3 linked regions of the Saccharomyces cerevisiae S288C genome follow. The gene in region 1 interacts genetically with each later gene. Each region holds a gene or a part of one and is shown on either strand. Other genes may lie near its edges.

Region 1 (6,735 bases):
TTTTGGATTCATCCGTAACAATATAACTTGGTACGGGAACGGCATGTTTTAAATGCACAGCGGTGCCTTGTTTCGCCGTGGATTGTTAAAGGCTCTTTTTCGGACGCCACATATTCCTATGCTGCACCAGCAATTGGTGTCTTCGGATCATACTACTTCGCACTAGTTTATATTCAAGGCTTTTAATGGAGCTTCGCTCTTAAAAGAAAAAACTTCTTTACTTCCATGCGCGCGTTTTTGGCGTACGTAGCACTGCGAAAGAGTGGGTGATATATAGAGAACATGTTGTAGTATACGTACGCGGGCAATTGTGGTGACAGTATCTCTTTCTGTTAGCAAGTAATATATCCTTGGCCTCAACCTGTCAATAGTGTTAGTTTATCCGCCATCTTGGCGCTATCATACACGATCTTTTTCAATGTTTCTCGTATATACAGGACAGGGTTCGGGGTTTTTGGCGGCAGGAGAGGAAAGCAAAAAAAAATGAGGCAAGAGTTTTAATTTTGCCAGCGAAATGTTCTGCCATTTTCATCTTTACCGCTCGAATTAGTGATGTTCCAGACGAAGGTAACATAGAGTGATCGATAGGTTCTTCAATTCATCAAGCATTATCTCAGAATTGTGTTTGGTAAGCTCTCTTCGAGAAAAGGAAGAACAAAAAAAAAAAAAATAAAGCAAAGAACAGGTTATAACGCTATGGGTAACTTTCCAGCTCCAAAAAACGATTTGATATTGAGAGCCGCAAAGGGTGAAAAAGTCGAGAGACCGCCATGCTGGATAATGCGCCAGGCAGGTCGTTACCTGCCGGAATATCACGAGGTGAAAAACAATCGTGATTTCTTTCAAACTTGCAGGGATGCGGAAATTGCTTCTGAGATTACTATCCAGCCGGTAAGACGCTATAGAGGCCTCATTGATGCTGCTATTATTTTTAGTGATATCTTAGTTATTCCGCAAGCCATGGGTATGAGGGTCGAGATGCTCGAAGGTAAAGGTCCACATTTCCCAGAACCTTTAAGAAATCCGGAAGACCTCCAAACGGTATTAGACTACAAGGTTGATGTTTTGAAAGAGTTAGATTGGGCTTTCAAGGCAATCACCATGACAAGGATCAAGTTGGATGGTGAGGTTCCCTTATTTGGCTTTTGCGGGGGACCTTGGACTCTAATGGTTTATATGACGGAAGGCGGTGGATCCCGTCTTTTCAGATTTGCCAAACAATGGATTAACATGTATCCAGAGCTTTCTCACAAATTATTACAAAAAATCACTGATGTGGCCGTGGAGTTTCTGAGTCAGCAAGTCGTGGCGGGTGCTCAAATACTACAAGTTTTTGAAAGTTGGGGTGGTGAGCTTTCGTCTGTAGATTTTGATGAGTTTTCCCTACCATATTTAAGACAAATTGCCGAAAGAGTGCCTAAAAGATTGCAAGAATTAGGTATCATGGAACAGATTCCTATGATCGTTTTTGCGAAAGGGTCGTGGTATGCTTTGGACAAGCTATGCTGTTCAGGATTTGACGTTGTTTCGTTGGACTGGTCCTGGGACCCAAGAGAAGCGGTAAAAATAAACAAGAACCGTGTCACCTTGCAGGGCAACCTGGATCCTGGCGTCATGTATGGTTCTAAAGAGGTAATAACAAAGAAAGTTAAACAGATGATTGAGGCTTTTGGAGGTGGGAAGTCCCGCTACATTGTTAATTTCGGTCACGGTACCCACCCTTTCATGGATCCAGACGTCATCAAGTTTTTCTTGGAGGAGTGCCACAGAATTGGTTCGAAGTAATGTGGAAATATTGATTCTTATAGTGTTATAAGTGATAATATACGTTTATGTAAATAATATCTTTTTCACAACGTTCAAAAGTGGCCTTTTTTCTTTTTTCGATATTCTGTATATTTATTACGATTTTTTTTTTTTTCAGATATTTATTTTTGCAGGTTCTCTGAATGGATGTAGTGACAAAATCTTAAATAGAAGAAAATAAAAGATGAAGGTATATGAAAATAAATGAGAATGCATATCACCTTTCCTTCGAAGAAAAAGGATTTTCAAAAGATCTGCACGCCTGTTGACAAGCTTCCAATAGCATGAATTCACAAAAGGCGAGTAAAATGACTGGCTCACTAAAAAAGAATGATCTTTATATTTTTGATTTGTCTGAGCAACTTCTGAATTCATTGAAATTGATGAGCTTTGACTCCACACTGCGAGAAGTTGAAGTAGAGAAGACATCTGATAATGATAGAAACAAGGAGTCTGGAGATCTCCAAATAGCAAGAAAGAAGGTCACATCAAATGTTATGCGTTGTAGTGTTTGTCAAATGAGCTTTGATTCCAGAAATGAACAAAAGGCCCACTACCAGACTGATTATCATTTGATGAATGTTAAGCGTAACCTTAGGGGGCTGGATATCCTATCCGTTGAGGAATTCGATGCGCTGATTTCTAAGGAGCATGGTATCAAGTCTGAAGACGAAAATTCTGGCGGCGAGCAAACTTCAAGCGATCACGAAGAAAGTGAGGAAGCCAGCGATCGGGACCCGGACCTACAAACTAATAATTATATGGAAACTATAATCGAAAATGATTTGCAGAAATTAGGGTTCCAAAAAGACGAGTCGGATGCTATTAGCCATATTAATACCCAATCGCCCTACATTTATTTCAAATCGAAGTATCTTCAAAAGAATGAGGTCTTGGCGATTTATAAGTCTCTATTTAATAAAAGGAGTCTTTCCAACCCCAATGAAGCTTTGACTTTTTGGAATTCGCAAGAGAACCCAATGGCCATTTCAGCTCTGTTTATGGTGGGAGGTGGACATTTTGCGGGAGCAATTGTTTCTCATCAAAGACTCAATGTCAAGGGGAACGCGCACAAGAAGGACGAAACCTTAATTGAGCAAGCGGTCAATTTCTTAGAGCACAAGACGTTTCACAGGTATACTACCAGAAGGAAGCAAGGTGGTTCTCAGTCAGCAATGGACAATGCAAAGGGAAAAGCTAACTCTGCCGGTTCAGCACTTCGTAGGTACAATGAAAGCGCTTTAAAAACAGATATACAGGGTGTGTTGAAGGACTGGGAACCTTATCTGTCAAAGTGTGATAATATTTTTATTCGAGCTCGCAATGTCAGTGATAAAAAAATTTTTACTGATAATACCGTTCTGAACAAGGGTGATGAAAGGATAAAGAGCTTCCCTTTTACCACGAACAGGCCCACTGTATTAGAATTGAAGAAGGCATGGTGCGAACTTTCCTACCTGAAAATATTACCTAAGCCTGAACCATTGGCAGTGAAAGAAACAGTACAAAAGTTAGAAGTGTCGAACAAAAAGGACGAATTTAAAGAAAAACAAGAACCGTTACTGGAAGAAATCCAAACAGAAGAAATAATTTCTCTGCTGAAGAAAGGAAGGGCACCGTTATTGATATCCTTCTTAAAAAAGAATAAGCTTGATGGAAACTTTCGGTTAAAGCCTGAGAGTAAATATTCCTTAACCCCTACCATGTTACATTATGCATCGCAGCAAGGGATGAAACAGATGGCACTGATTTTGCTCTCAAATATTAAATGCGATCCAACGATCAAGAACAGACTAGGAAGGACTGCGTGGGATTTGAATAGAAACGACGACGTGAGACACGCGTTTCAAATTGCAAGATACAATCTTGGAGAGTCTTTCACTAATTGGGACGAAACTCATATCGGTCAGCCATTGAGCAGAGAACAAGTTGATGAAATCAATGAAAAGAAAAAAGCAATAGAGAATGAAAAGGCAGAAAAACTGATTAAATTGGAATTAGAAGCCGCCAAGGAAAAACAAAGATTTGCTAAAGATGCAGAGAGGGGTCCAGGCAAAAAGTTAACCAATATTCCTTCAATTCAGCAACAAAATTTGAATTCTTTGACCGATGAACAGAGACGCAGATTGATGAGAGAACAAAGGGCTAGAGCCGCAGAAGAAAGGATGAAAAAGAAATACTGAGGAATATCTCATATTCAAATTTTTAGGATTTTTCTTAGCATTTGCATATATTTTCATAGACACAGTACTTACATTTAATAACAGTAATTGAAAAGCAATATTAAAATATAGAAGCCCAAATTTTATATTTCAAATGAATAAATGTTGTTTTTTTTGGCAATTTTTTGCTCTTCTATATAACAGTTGAAATTTGGATAAGAACATCTTCTCAACGCGAAAATGACGCCTCCAGTGAAAAAACATAAACTTTCAATGCAGTCTTCGGTACACTTATGAGTAACCCATATAGAGATCGTACACATTTTACAAGGATTTAGAGACAAAGTAATATTCTTCGTTGATATAGAGGTGTTCAATTGTTAAATGCTTTTCTTCTTTTTATTAGAAAAAGCGCCTTGCTTTTTGTTGTATCACTTGTAAATCTACCGTCCCTTACAAGAACATTCACGAAATTTAAGTGGCTCAGAATGAAAAAGAAACAATATAAAAAAGCTTTCCGTAGTCATCAATTTATTTTACATAACACTAGATATAAAGAAAAGAAGATAATATTTTTATATAATTATATTAATCTTAGTTTCTAGAGTTGATGATATCAACAAATTCTGGCTTCAAAGAAGCACCACCGACCAAGAAACCATCGACATCAGCCTTGTCCTTGAAGGTAACGGCGTTGCTACCGTTAGCGGAACCACCGTATAAGATTCTCAATTCGCTGGCAGCCTTGTCACCCAACTTGGAAGCCAAGAACTTTCTGATGGAAGCGTGAATATCTTGAGCATCTTCTGGAGTAGCAGCCAAACCGGTACCAATGGCCCAGACTGGTTCGTAAGCGACAACGACGTTAGTCCAGTCCTTAACTTCTTCCAAGACAGCGTTCAATTGTCTTTCAACAACATCCAAAGTCTTACCGGCCTTCTTTTCTTCCAAAGTTTCACCGATACACAAGATGACACCGACACCTTGACCTAAAGCGAACTTGGTCTTGTCAGCAATGAACTTGTCATCTTCGTGGAAGTAAGATCTTCTTTCGGAGTGACCCAAAATAACCCACTTAGCACCAACATCCTTGATTTGGTCAACGGAGTTTTCACCGGTGAAAGCACCAGAAGCCTTCAAGTAGGCGTTTTGAGCACCGACAGTGACTTGTGGCTTCTTAACCAAAGAGACAGAGTAGTCTAAGTAGGTAGCTGGAGGACAGATAACAACTTCGACATTTTCTGGGATAGAAGCAGTGTTCAATCTTTCAACAATTTCCTTAATGGATTGTTTGGAACCGTTTAATTTAAAGTTACCACCGACAAAGAAAGTTCTAGCCATTTTTAGTTTATGTATGTGTTTTTTGTAGTTATAGATTTAAGCAAGAAAAGAATACAAACAAAAAATTGAAAAAGATTGATTTAGAATTAAAAAGAAAAATATTTACGTAAGAAGGGAAAATAGTAAATGTTGCAAGTTCACTAAACTCCTAAATTATGCTGCCCTTTATATTCCCTGTTACAGCAGCCGAGCCAAAGGTATATAGGCTCCTTTGCATTAGCATGCGTAACAAACCACCTGTCAGTTTCAACCGAGGTGGTATCCGAGAGAATTGTGTGATTGCTTTAATTAATTTCGGAGAATCTCACATGCCACTGAAGATTAAAAACTGGATGCCAGAAAAGGGGTGTCCAGGTGTAACATCAATAGAGGAAGCTGAAAAGTCTTAGAACGGGTAATCTTCCACCAACCTGATGGGTTCCTAGATATAATCTCGAAGGGAATAAGTAGGGTGATACCGCAGAAGTGTCTGAATGTATTAAGGTCCTCACAGTTTAAATCCCGCTCACACTAACGTAGGATTATTATAACTCAAAAAAATGGCATTATTCTAAGTAAGTTAAATATCCGTAATCTTTAAACACTATGTAGTTAGGTCTCCCTCACAATCAGTCCATTTGGGTAGCACGGTCCTCAGGACGTATCTATTGATGGATTCGTCCAGTTCCATCACCATTACGCTCCCGTTAGGAACATTGGTAAACGATTCAAACTCTTCGTATGTCCATCTAAACCATTTCATCAGGAATACTCTGGAATAAATACCATGTGTAACTAGGACAACAACATCTCTGGGTCTTCTCTCTTGCCTATCATGGAAGTGCCTGAATAAAGTCTCTTGGAAACTGGCGACTCTGTCATATACATCTGCCGCACTTTCTCCATGAGGGAATCTGAAGAAGAAATGACCATACGTAGATCTCTTCTTCATAACGTCCTGCATGCTATTGATTTTTTGGAAATTACCAAAATCTTGTTCCCTTATTCTTGGCTCATCCTTAACCCGATATTGCAGATAACATTTTCCAGGCTTCCCTTCACAAATATTATCTTCATTATTTTCGTAAACACCACCAGTATTATTAAGTCCTCTCGGCCAAAATGCATGTTTCTGTTTACCATGTGGATCATATCTCATATCTTCACATATACGAACACCACTGTTTAATTCATTATATTCATCGATGACGTCCAAAATACCTTTCAATGTTTCCCTTGCTCTTCTATAGGGTGATGTATAAAAAACTATGTTTGTGTCTTTTTCTCTACTCAGCCTGGTATAGTCCTTCAGCGGTAAAGTTCTCCTGCTACTTTCATCTTTAATATACTTCTTAGCCAAATCCTCCACCAAGTTGTGATCGTCTACGTTTAAAACACGTAATAAGTCAATACCAGCTTGTCTAGCTTGGATTTGACCTGTTTTCGT
Region 2 (4,295 bases), on another chromosome or scaffold:
TTCTGTCTGCCATGCCACCAATTTGGTAACCGTAATCCCACCACGCTGCAACCTTACTGTCCTCATCAGAGTTCATTCTTAACCAATAGTACGCTTCCCTGAAGTCGTCGATCAACGCCAATTTACCATCTGGGGTTTGTGATGGCAAAACAACAGAAGGAGAAGAGTATGCAGTTCTTGTTACCCAAGTAGAATGGAAGACGAAAAGATACAAATAAAAGATGAATGATCCGGAAACAATCAATTTGGCCAGTAGTGCCGCAGGTTTGATGGCGTATTTGCGGTCACTTGTCTTGAAATCCAGGTAGATGTCAAATATCTTGGACAATGCGACGGCGGCGGACACACAGATGACTGGTGTCAAAGTCAACATCAATCTAACCATAACACCGGCAAAGTACGAACACAGAACGGAGTAAGCGATGACAAAAACGTGCTCGTCTTTCAAGTCGAGGAATAGTAGGAATACACCGGCGGGGAATAGCCAGATCAAAAAGTGGGTATCAAAGAAGAAAGCGGGCCACGAAACGGGTTGATGTTCGGAAACGGAGGCAATGATAGGAATGTGGATCTTTGCGTAGTTGGTATCCCATAACGAATAAAATCTACCAGTCCAAGGGGCAATCAACCCCATATAGGTCAAGGCAGAAAGTCCGACCACACCAAGGACCAAGATCAAAAACAGAGAAACCATCATGATGACTTTAAACTTAGCTGTGCTGATTTGGCCCTTCACGAAGTCACCGAAGGCGACAATCTGAATCAAACCGAAAACACCCAATGCGGCCATGTGGTCGTTAGACCTGATAGGTAGGAAACCGACAAATGGGATCTGCATGGATGCAACAGTTCCAATAGCGTACCAAGTGGTGTAGGCAGAATACAGTTTGGACGAATATCTGCCCATCAAAATCAGCAAAAAGACATGGAGTGGGATCAAGTTGGTGATGAACACGTATCCACCCCAAGCCGACACCATGTAGAAGTAGAATAAAGCTGCACACGTTGCGTGCATGATAGAGCCAGTCTTTTGGGCCTTAATCCAAAACATGAAAGTGACCATTAATAGTGTAATGGCAATGGCCTCATTATCGTAGGACCCCGCCACTGATCTAGATATATAACCGGGGACAATGGCTATAAAACCAGCAGCCAAAAGCCCAGCGCTGGCATCTTTAATCTCTTTCGTAAATTCGTAAGTCGCCCAGGCGGTGACCCCAGAAAATAGTGGCGCAAATAGCACACAAACGTTTCTGATGTCAATGGGCAAGCCCAACCAGTTGCGCAGGGCGTGCCAGATGAACGCACTAGTCGTCATCAAACCAGGATATAAAGTCCCTCCAGTAACCCTTCCGAGGGGGTACCAGGTACGGTCGTCAAACCAGTTCAAAAACTTGTAAAACGAATTGTTGACGAGATATTTGGTAGCCCTATAATTGAACCAGGGGTCGAATTCATGGATAATAGACTCAAATTTGATGACTGCAAACAAACGTGATGATATGGCAGCCCCAAAAATCGCCACGAAGATGACGAGCTTGAGGATGGTCTGAAACACAGACAAAACACACGACCGGTCGGATCCCATGGCAGCTGTGATAATGACGAATGGTAGTTAGGATTTACGGCTGTGAATGCGATTGCGGATGCTATGTCACGTTGAATTAGACCGTGCTTTTGCTGCTTTTCTTTCTTTCAGACTTGCTCTTTTGTTCGTGTCTTATTTTGTCAATTCTCGACCAGCGCGAAAAAGCAACCGTCGATGGTGACCATTTAGCAGAGGCGAAGAGAAGTAAAAGAAAGCTTATGATATGACTATTGAGACCTGGAATAGGTACGAAGCGCCAGTGAGGAGGACTGGGCAGCACAGTTGTAGTGGAGACCAGAATGACTGCGTTGCATAGTGTGTCCAAAACGCCCGCGATCAAGGAAGAGGAGGAGGACGGTGATGAGCGAGACGGCAGAGGAGTTCCCCTGGGACCAAGGAACCATGACTACCGTGGCAGGAAAGGTGATGAGGAAAGCGGTGCTGACACCGTGACATCTCCCATCACGTTTGAAAAGAAGAAGATAGCGCCCAGGGCGTCAACGCATTCCGAACAGAGTATTTTGAGCAGCATCTCATTGAAATCGATGGTAAATCAACATCGTCAGCAGCAGTTGCAGCAAGAGAGCTCAACAGGGGCAGGCACTGGGTTTGTTGACAGAAAGCAGCAGATCCAATCTCCGGCGATGGTGTCCATATTGAGGAAGAACTCTGCTGAGGAGAATGTTCGCAGCAGCCACAGTAGCAAGCTCGGTGAAGGGCAGATAGATGGTAGGAAGGCTTCTGCTAGTAAGGAGATCGGCAAGACGTTGCCATTCACGGATGACCAAAGATCGAACCCTGAACTAGATCCCACCAATAGCGTGGTGGATGTTAGCAGGGGCAAGAATACAAAGAGCAAAACTGTGTTCAATGAGTTAGAAGATGATGCCGATGACGATGACGAGGTTCGACAAAAGAATCTAACCACGCAGGCGTTACGCAAGTTGTCGTCGTTCAAAATGAATGCTAGTTCTAATTTGAGGTTGAGTAAAGAAAACAAGGCGAAAGAGTCTTCATCTTCGTCCACGTCTTCAGTGTCGTCATCGTCGACGTCGAAGGTGGAAAATATTGTCGACAAGCTGACTACAACGAATTCTAGCTCGATGTCCCAACTGCGGTTTGGCAACACGAACGTCATTATTGATTCGGTGAATCATGCGGCGAAACCGCCGCATCAGCAGATGCTAAGGAAACCCTCGCTGGAATTTTTACCGCAGCCTGCTTCGAGCACTAATCTGAATTTTAATTCCAATAAACATAAATCAAATGTAAGACAGATCAGTAACCCTAAAAAACCGCTATACATCCCCGCCGTGCTGAGGAAAGTTTCAGAGACAAACATAACTAATGACGATCTGTTGAATGCAACATTGTCGTCTTACTACAAGAAGGCATCTAACCTGGAACATGGCTTTAATCCAAGCAAGTCGCAATCCGCTAGCGTTCAGAATGCGAACAACCTACGGATCATATCTTCTCAATCCAGCGTACAATCCAACACATCGTCAATCTTGGAAAGCTACAAAAACAAAATATCCTCGTACTTGTTCCCGAATTCTATTCCGAACAGCGACAGAATCAACTTAATACCAACTATTTCAAACAGAAACTCTGCCAGAGTAAACCCGCCCACTAAGGACCACTGGATTCCGGACAGTAAGAGGAATTCTTGTCGTTACTGCCATAAGCCTTTTACCCTGTGGGAAAGGAAACATCATTGCAGGCATTGCGGGGACATCTTTTGTCAAGACCATTTGCGCCATTGGCTGTACCTGGACTCGCAGGCAAATTTTATAATGATCAACGAACTAAACAACGGTGGCATAAATGGCGGTGGCACTCTCTGTAAAATATGCGATGACTGTCTGGTCGAGTACGAGAACCTTTCAACCACGAACCATAACGCAAACACGAACGAGGATAACATAAACGTTGAGGAGGGCGAAGATGACGATAATGACAATAGGAAGAAATTACGCAATTACTACAAGAATAGGCAGATGAACGCTCTTTTCAGACCAAAGAAGGGCGGTTCGTCCCAAGAGCATGCCACGGTTGATCGAGACACAACAACGCCCATCCAGGTGAAGTCGAACGACGAAGAAGCAGATAATGAGAATACGGGGGGAGAACAAGAAGAAGGTAATGATGTTTTGGGCAGTGTTATCGGCTCTGTGCCTGCAAACTGGAATTGGAGTAGTTTCTGATGAACATTTTTTGCGAGACAAGCGAAGAGAGGATGTACACTATTGATGTATGACCATTATGTATACAATAAACTTAATATAATATGATATAATATAATATAATATATAACACTAACACTTTCCTGAGGATTTTCGGTATGGCGCCGAGCGAAATTTTAAAGAGAACAACAGAAACAGTCACCAAGACTTCTTCAATTAGGCAGCGCAAAACGGACACAACAGCAGTAAAGACAACCGGAATGGACTCGATTATACCGGCAGGCGTCAAGCTAGATGATTTACAAGTGATATTGGCTAAGAACGAGAATGAAACCAGGGACAAAGTGTGTAAGCAGATCAACGAAGCACGCGATGAAATTCTGCCGTTGCGATTGCAGTTCAATGAATTCATACAGATAATGGCAAACATAGACCAAGAAGGATCCAAGCAGGCTGACCGTATGGCCAAATACCTACATATCAGAGACAAGATTTTGCAACTGAACGATAGATTCCAGACT
Region 3 (4,637 bases), on another chromosome or scaffold:
AAGCAATCAATAGTGTTTTATTTGCAACAATGTCGTCATAGTTTAATATGTCCTATAAGATGTTAACTTGCTCAACATTCAACAAAGTTTGGTCTCTTGGCCCAGTTGGTTAAGGCACCGTGCTAATAACGCGGGGATCAGCGGTTCGATCCCGCTAGAGACCATTTATTTTTAAATTCGACCGTCTGACAGACGGTGCACTTATTACTTAATTTTTTTTTTTTTTTAATCCTCGTTAAACTGAGTACATAATCAGCAACAATATAATATAAAAGTTTTGCTTTTTTATGTACGTACAATAGGGGTACTTAAATAAATAAATAAACAATAAAACAATCAATAAATAAATAATATACGATCATAAATTACGAGATATATTTCATAGTCTTGACTTCTCCAGCCGAACGTCATTAAATTTAAGGCAGAAAAGATAAACAAGGGTACGGTGTACAGAAGACAAAATAAATAATAACCTTTAAAAGATTATAACAATGTTTTCATTATTTCTTCTCATCGGCCTTAATTTTATTTAAGGCAGAACCATATTTGAACCATTCAATTTGCTCATCGTTGAAAGTATGGGTCAACACAGCATCCCATGGCTTACCATTCTTTGGATGAACTCTCATTGTTACAGGCTTACCTGGAGCCAATTCAGCTAGACCCAGAATATCGATTCTGTCATCAGGGTTGATCTTGTCATAGTCAGCTGGGTTCTTGAAGTTCAATGGCAATAGACCTTGTTTTTTCAAGTTAGTTTCATGGATACGAGCGAAAGACTTTGTGATGATAGCGAAACCGCCCAAGAATCTTGGTTCCAAAGCAGCGTGTTCACGAGAGGAACCTTCACCAAAGTTTTCATCACCAATAACAACCCACTTGATACCTTGGTCTCTGTAATCTCTAGCAGTGTCTGGAACACCTTTGTATTCACCAGTATATACATTTTTAACACAGTTAGCCTTCTTGTTTTCAGCATTAATAGCACCAATCATATAGTTATTAGAAATGTTTTCTAAATGACCTCTGTATTTCAACCATGGACCAGCCATAGAAATATGATCAGTAGTTGTCTTACCGACGGCCTTAATCAAGATTGGCATGTCTTTAGCATCCTTACCATCCCAAGGTTTGAATGGTTTCAACAGTTGTAGACGGTCTGAAGTTGGAGAAACTTTAACTTCAACGGTGCTACGGTCTGCAGGTGGAGCTTGGTAAGTGTTCTCACCAGCATCATAACCTCTTTGAGGCAAACCATCACCATGTGGTGGTTTCAACATGAACTCATTACCATCCTTGTCCTTTAATTTGTCTGTTAGAGGGTTGAATCTCAAATCACCCGCAATGGCGAACGCAGTTACTAATTCTGGAGATGCAACAAAAGCATGAGTTTGTGGGTTACCATCATTTCTAGAAGTGAAATTTCTGTTGTAAGAGGAAACGATAGTATTCTTGTCACCTTTCTTGATATCTCTACGATCCCATTGACCAATACATGGGCCACAGGCGTTTGCCAAAACGATACCACCAAATTCTTTGAAGGTTTCTAATTGGCCATCACGTTCAATAGTGGCTCTGATTTGTTCAGAACCTGGAGTAACAGTGAAAATGGTCTTGGATTTCAAACCATGAGCAGCAGCATCCTTGACAATGGATGCTGAACGAGACATATCTTCATAAGAGGAATTGGTACAAGAACCGATCAAACCGACTCTGACATCCAATGGCCAGTTATTAGCAACAGCAACTTCCTTCATCTTAGAAACTGGAGTAGCCAAATCGGGGGTAAATGGCCCATTGATGTATGGTTCCAGAGTGTTCAAGTCAATTTCGACGACCTCATCGTATTCAGCATCCTTATCAGCAGATAATAGGTCCTTGTGGTATAATTTAGCAAAGTCAGCGATCTTACCACGACCAGTTGCTTCCAAATATTCAATCATAGATTTGTTGAATGGGAAAACAGATGTGGTAGCACCGATTTCAGCACCCATATTACAAATGGTACCCATACCAGTAGCGGAGAAGGTGTCAACACCATCACCGAAATATTCAACAATTTTACCAGTACCACCTTTGACAGTTGTGATACCAGCCAATTTCAAAATAATATCCTTTGGAGAAGTCCAACCGTTCATCTTACCAGTCAACTTAACACCTAAGATCTTTGGAGCCTTCAATTCCCATGGACGACCTGCCATAACATCAACGGCATCAGCACCACCAACACCAATAGCCAATTGACCTAAACCACCAGCATTTGGTGTATGGGAGTCAGTACCAATGATCAAAGCACCTGGGAAAGCGTAGTTTTCCAGAACAATTTGGTGAATGATACCGGAACCTGGCTTCCAGAAACCCATGTTATATTTCGCAGTGGCAGAGGCCAAGAAATCATAAACTTCCTTGTTTAGATCTATAGCTCTCTTCAAATCTTTTTCACCACCAACTTGTGCTTGAATCAAATGGTCACAGTGGACAGTGACTGGCTTAGCAACCTGTGGTAAACCAGCGGACATAAATTGTAAAATAGCCATTTGAGCAGTAGCATCTTGACAGGCAACACGATCTGGTCTTAATTTTAGGTATGAAACACCTCTCTGAATATCTTGACCATGAGGGTCATCCAAGTGACCGTACAAAATCTTTTCCGCGTAGGTAAATGGCCTGTTTAATCTTTTTCTTACGATATCCAGCGTTTCCACATTCTGCTTGTAGTTAATAAAAGAATGATCTTCTAATAAGTTTTGGTTGACTTTTGAATCTCTAGTCAAGTTGGAGACTGTCGCAAGACCACGAACAATGGGTCTCTTGATGGCAGAACGTGCAGACAGCATTGTATATCTATAGTAATAATGGTAGTATTTATTACCTTCGTTCTACTATGTAATAACTAAGAAAGAGTGAACAGAACAAGGGACAACGGAATTAAGCAACATACTCCTCCTAATTAACCTCTAAAACCGGAAGATTATATATATAACAAAAGATTTTCCTTGTCCTCCCTTTTTGTGCTTGCCTTTCCGAAAACCGGCAGCGATTGGAGGTTTGATGGTTAAAGTCGCCTGCGGAGAACAACTGAAGGGTTCAAATTTTTCTCGTATGCACTAATTTCTCTATTGATTGGTCAGGACCTTTGCCGATTTCGGCGCCGAAATGCTCGAAAAACAAAGGGTATTGCCCGGCCCCGCGGACCTCCCTTTTGCGGCTCTCGGCCATTTTTTAGGTAATTTGACACCGTGCCCAAATGGCTTGGCACAATCGAGAATCAGGCACCCGCGTGTGACCGGCGTCATTCATTAAAGCCAGATAAGACAAAGTAAAATACAATGGATTATGATTAATACAATGATATACAAAAAGAGAGAAAATAAACGAAGGCTACGTCTGCGTAATTGACGATGGGAAACTGGTATTTTTATATAAGCATATGTAAAGTGCGAAGTATATCAGTACGGAATGCCATTTGTGAGCCTTTGGAATTCATCATAACCTTTAGTGAATATACTTTCATAACTTTTACGGATTAGCGCCTTCATATATAGTGCAGCTTCGTGATCGGTTTTTTGAGGTTGAAATCTTGCTCTTAGATTCCTAATTGTCTTGTGACCCTTAAAGCAGGGGAGACCGCTTCCTAACATAGGATTTACACACTCAATTATGGCCTCCACGTGCGGACGGGCGGCTAGATATGCCTTGATACAAAGTTCTTCAAAGTCCAGATACGCTGGGGTCTGGGGCGAACCTCCCATCACTTTAACCATTTCTTTCGTCAGCTTGAATGGTACTGCTTCAAACTTGATACCACCTGGGACAATATCAAAAATAAACCCAAAATCGATATGTAGACAATGTCCTTGATCATCGTACATAATGTTACCATTATGTCTATCCTTGAATTGCAACAAATACGAAATTACGCTATATCCCGCTAAGGATTTAACAAAGTTGTTTCGTGCGTTTTGAAATTCGATAGTAGATTCATTACCAAATTTACTAGTGAAATATTCATATAATCCATTAACAGCTTCACGTCCTAACATATCACGGGATACCGAATTGGGTAGCACATCGATGACACCACAACCCGGTGCCGTCGCAGTAACTCTGTAGGGAAAAACGTAGACATCCAAGCCAATACTAGACCAAATGGTTCTAAATAGCGAGATCAATTGTAACGCTAGAACATCTTGCCTACAGTCATCACCGACTTTGAAGATAGCAGCTTGCCATTTTTCAACTTCCTTGTTTTTACCTGTCAAAGGATCTTTTACGTCTTTCTTTATTTTAAAGGTCGCCATAAAAGGCGCCTTTGCGTGAGATTGAAGTGGCTTACCACTCTTCCGATCAATATCAATAACTACACCGTCAGGATTAGAAGGTAAATAAACATCAGGTTTCACCTCAATTTTGCTCATTTCTTCATCGATCTTATGTTTCTTTTCAGCCTTACTTTTTTTTATGTATGGTTTCAACTTACCAGATATGCCAGTTACTTCGTCGAAGAATTCAAATTCACGTTCGTAAAAATCGCGATGAGATTGGCTGAAACTTGAAACCATACGCTCCCTAATACGATCTAGAGTTGGTTTGATTTCATCTTCTTGTATACCTTCATCATCCTTGTAGCAGTTTGC

Evidence for each region.
Region 2: mutations in VMS1 (region 1) and PIB2 together harm fitness more than expected from each alone (negative genetic interaction), as found in Saccharomyces cerevisiae (2 studies listed by BioGRID).
Region 3: mutations in VMS1 (region 1) and ACO1 together harm fitness more than expected from each alone (negative genetic interaction), as found in Saccharomyces cerevisiae (2 studies listed by BioGRID).

Annotation. Positions count from the first base shown.
Region 1 is NC_001136.10:551,164-557,898, forward strand, and holds VMS1 (Vms1p), read left to right. Parts: upstream 1-2,090; coding exon 2,091-3,989; downstream 3,990-6,735. Other genes in the region: uroporphyrinogen decarboxylase HEM12, read left to right, coding at 697-1,785; triose-phosphate isomerase TPI1, read right to left, coding at 4,563-5,309; acid phosphatase DET1, read right to left, coding at 5,893-6,735. UniProt on the Saccharomyces cerevisiae protein: Endonuclease that cleaves polypeptidyl-tRNAs downstream of the ribosome-associated quality control (RQC) pathway to release incompletely synthesized polypeptides for degradation.
Region 2 is NC_001139.9:449,697-453,991, reverse strand, and holds PIB2 (Pib2p), read left to right. Parts: upstream 1-1,887; coding exon 1,888-3,795; downstream 3,796-4,295. Other genes in the region: dolichyl-diphosphooligosaccharide--protein glycosyltransferase subunit STT3, read right to left, coding at 1-1,588; PGD1 (Pgd1p), read left to right, coding at 4,035-4,295. UniProt on the Saccharomyces cerevisiae protein: Functions as an intracellular glutamine sensor that directly activates the TORC1 signaling pathway, to promote cell growth when glutamine is available. May play a role in repressing NPR1 activity independently of TORC1 signaling.
Region 3 is NC_001144.5:734,712-739,348, forward strand, and holds ACO1 (aconitate hydratase ACO1), read right to left. Parts: upstream 2,838-4,637; coding exon 501-2,837; downstream 1-500. Other genes in the region: 1-phosphatidylinositol 4-kinase STT4, read right to left, coding at 3,450-4,637. UniProt on the Saccharomyces cerevisiae protein: Catalyzes the isomerization of citrate to isocitrate via cis-aconitate, a step in the citric acid cycle.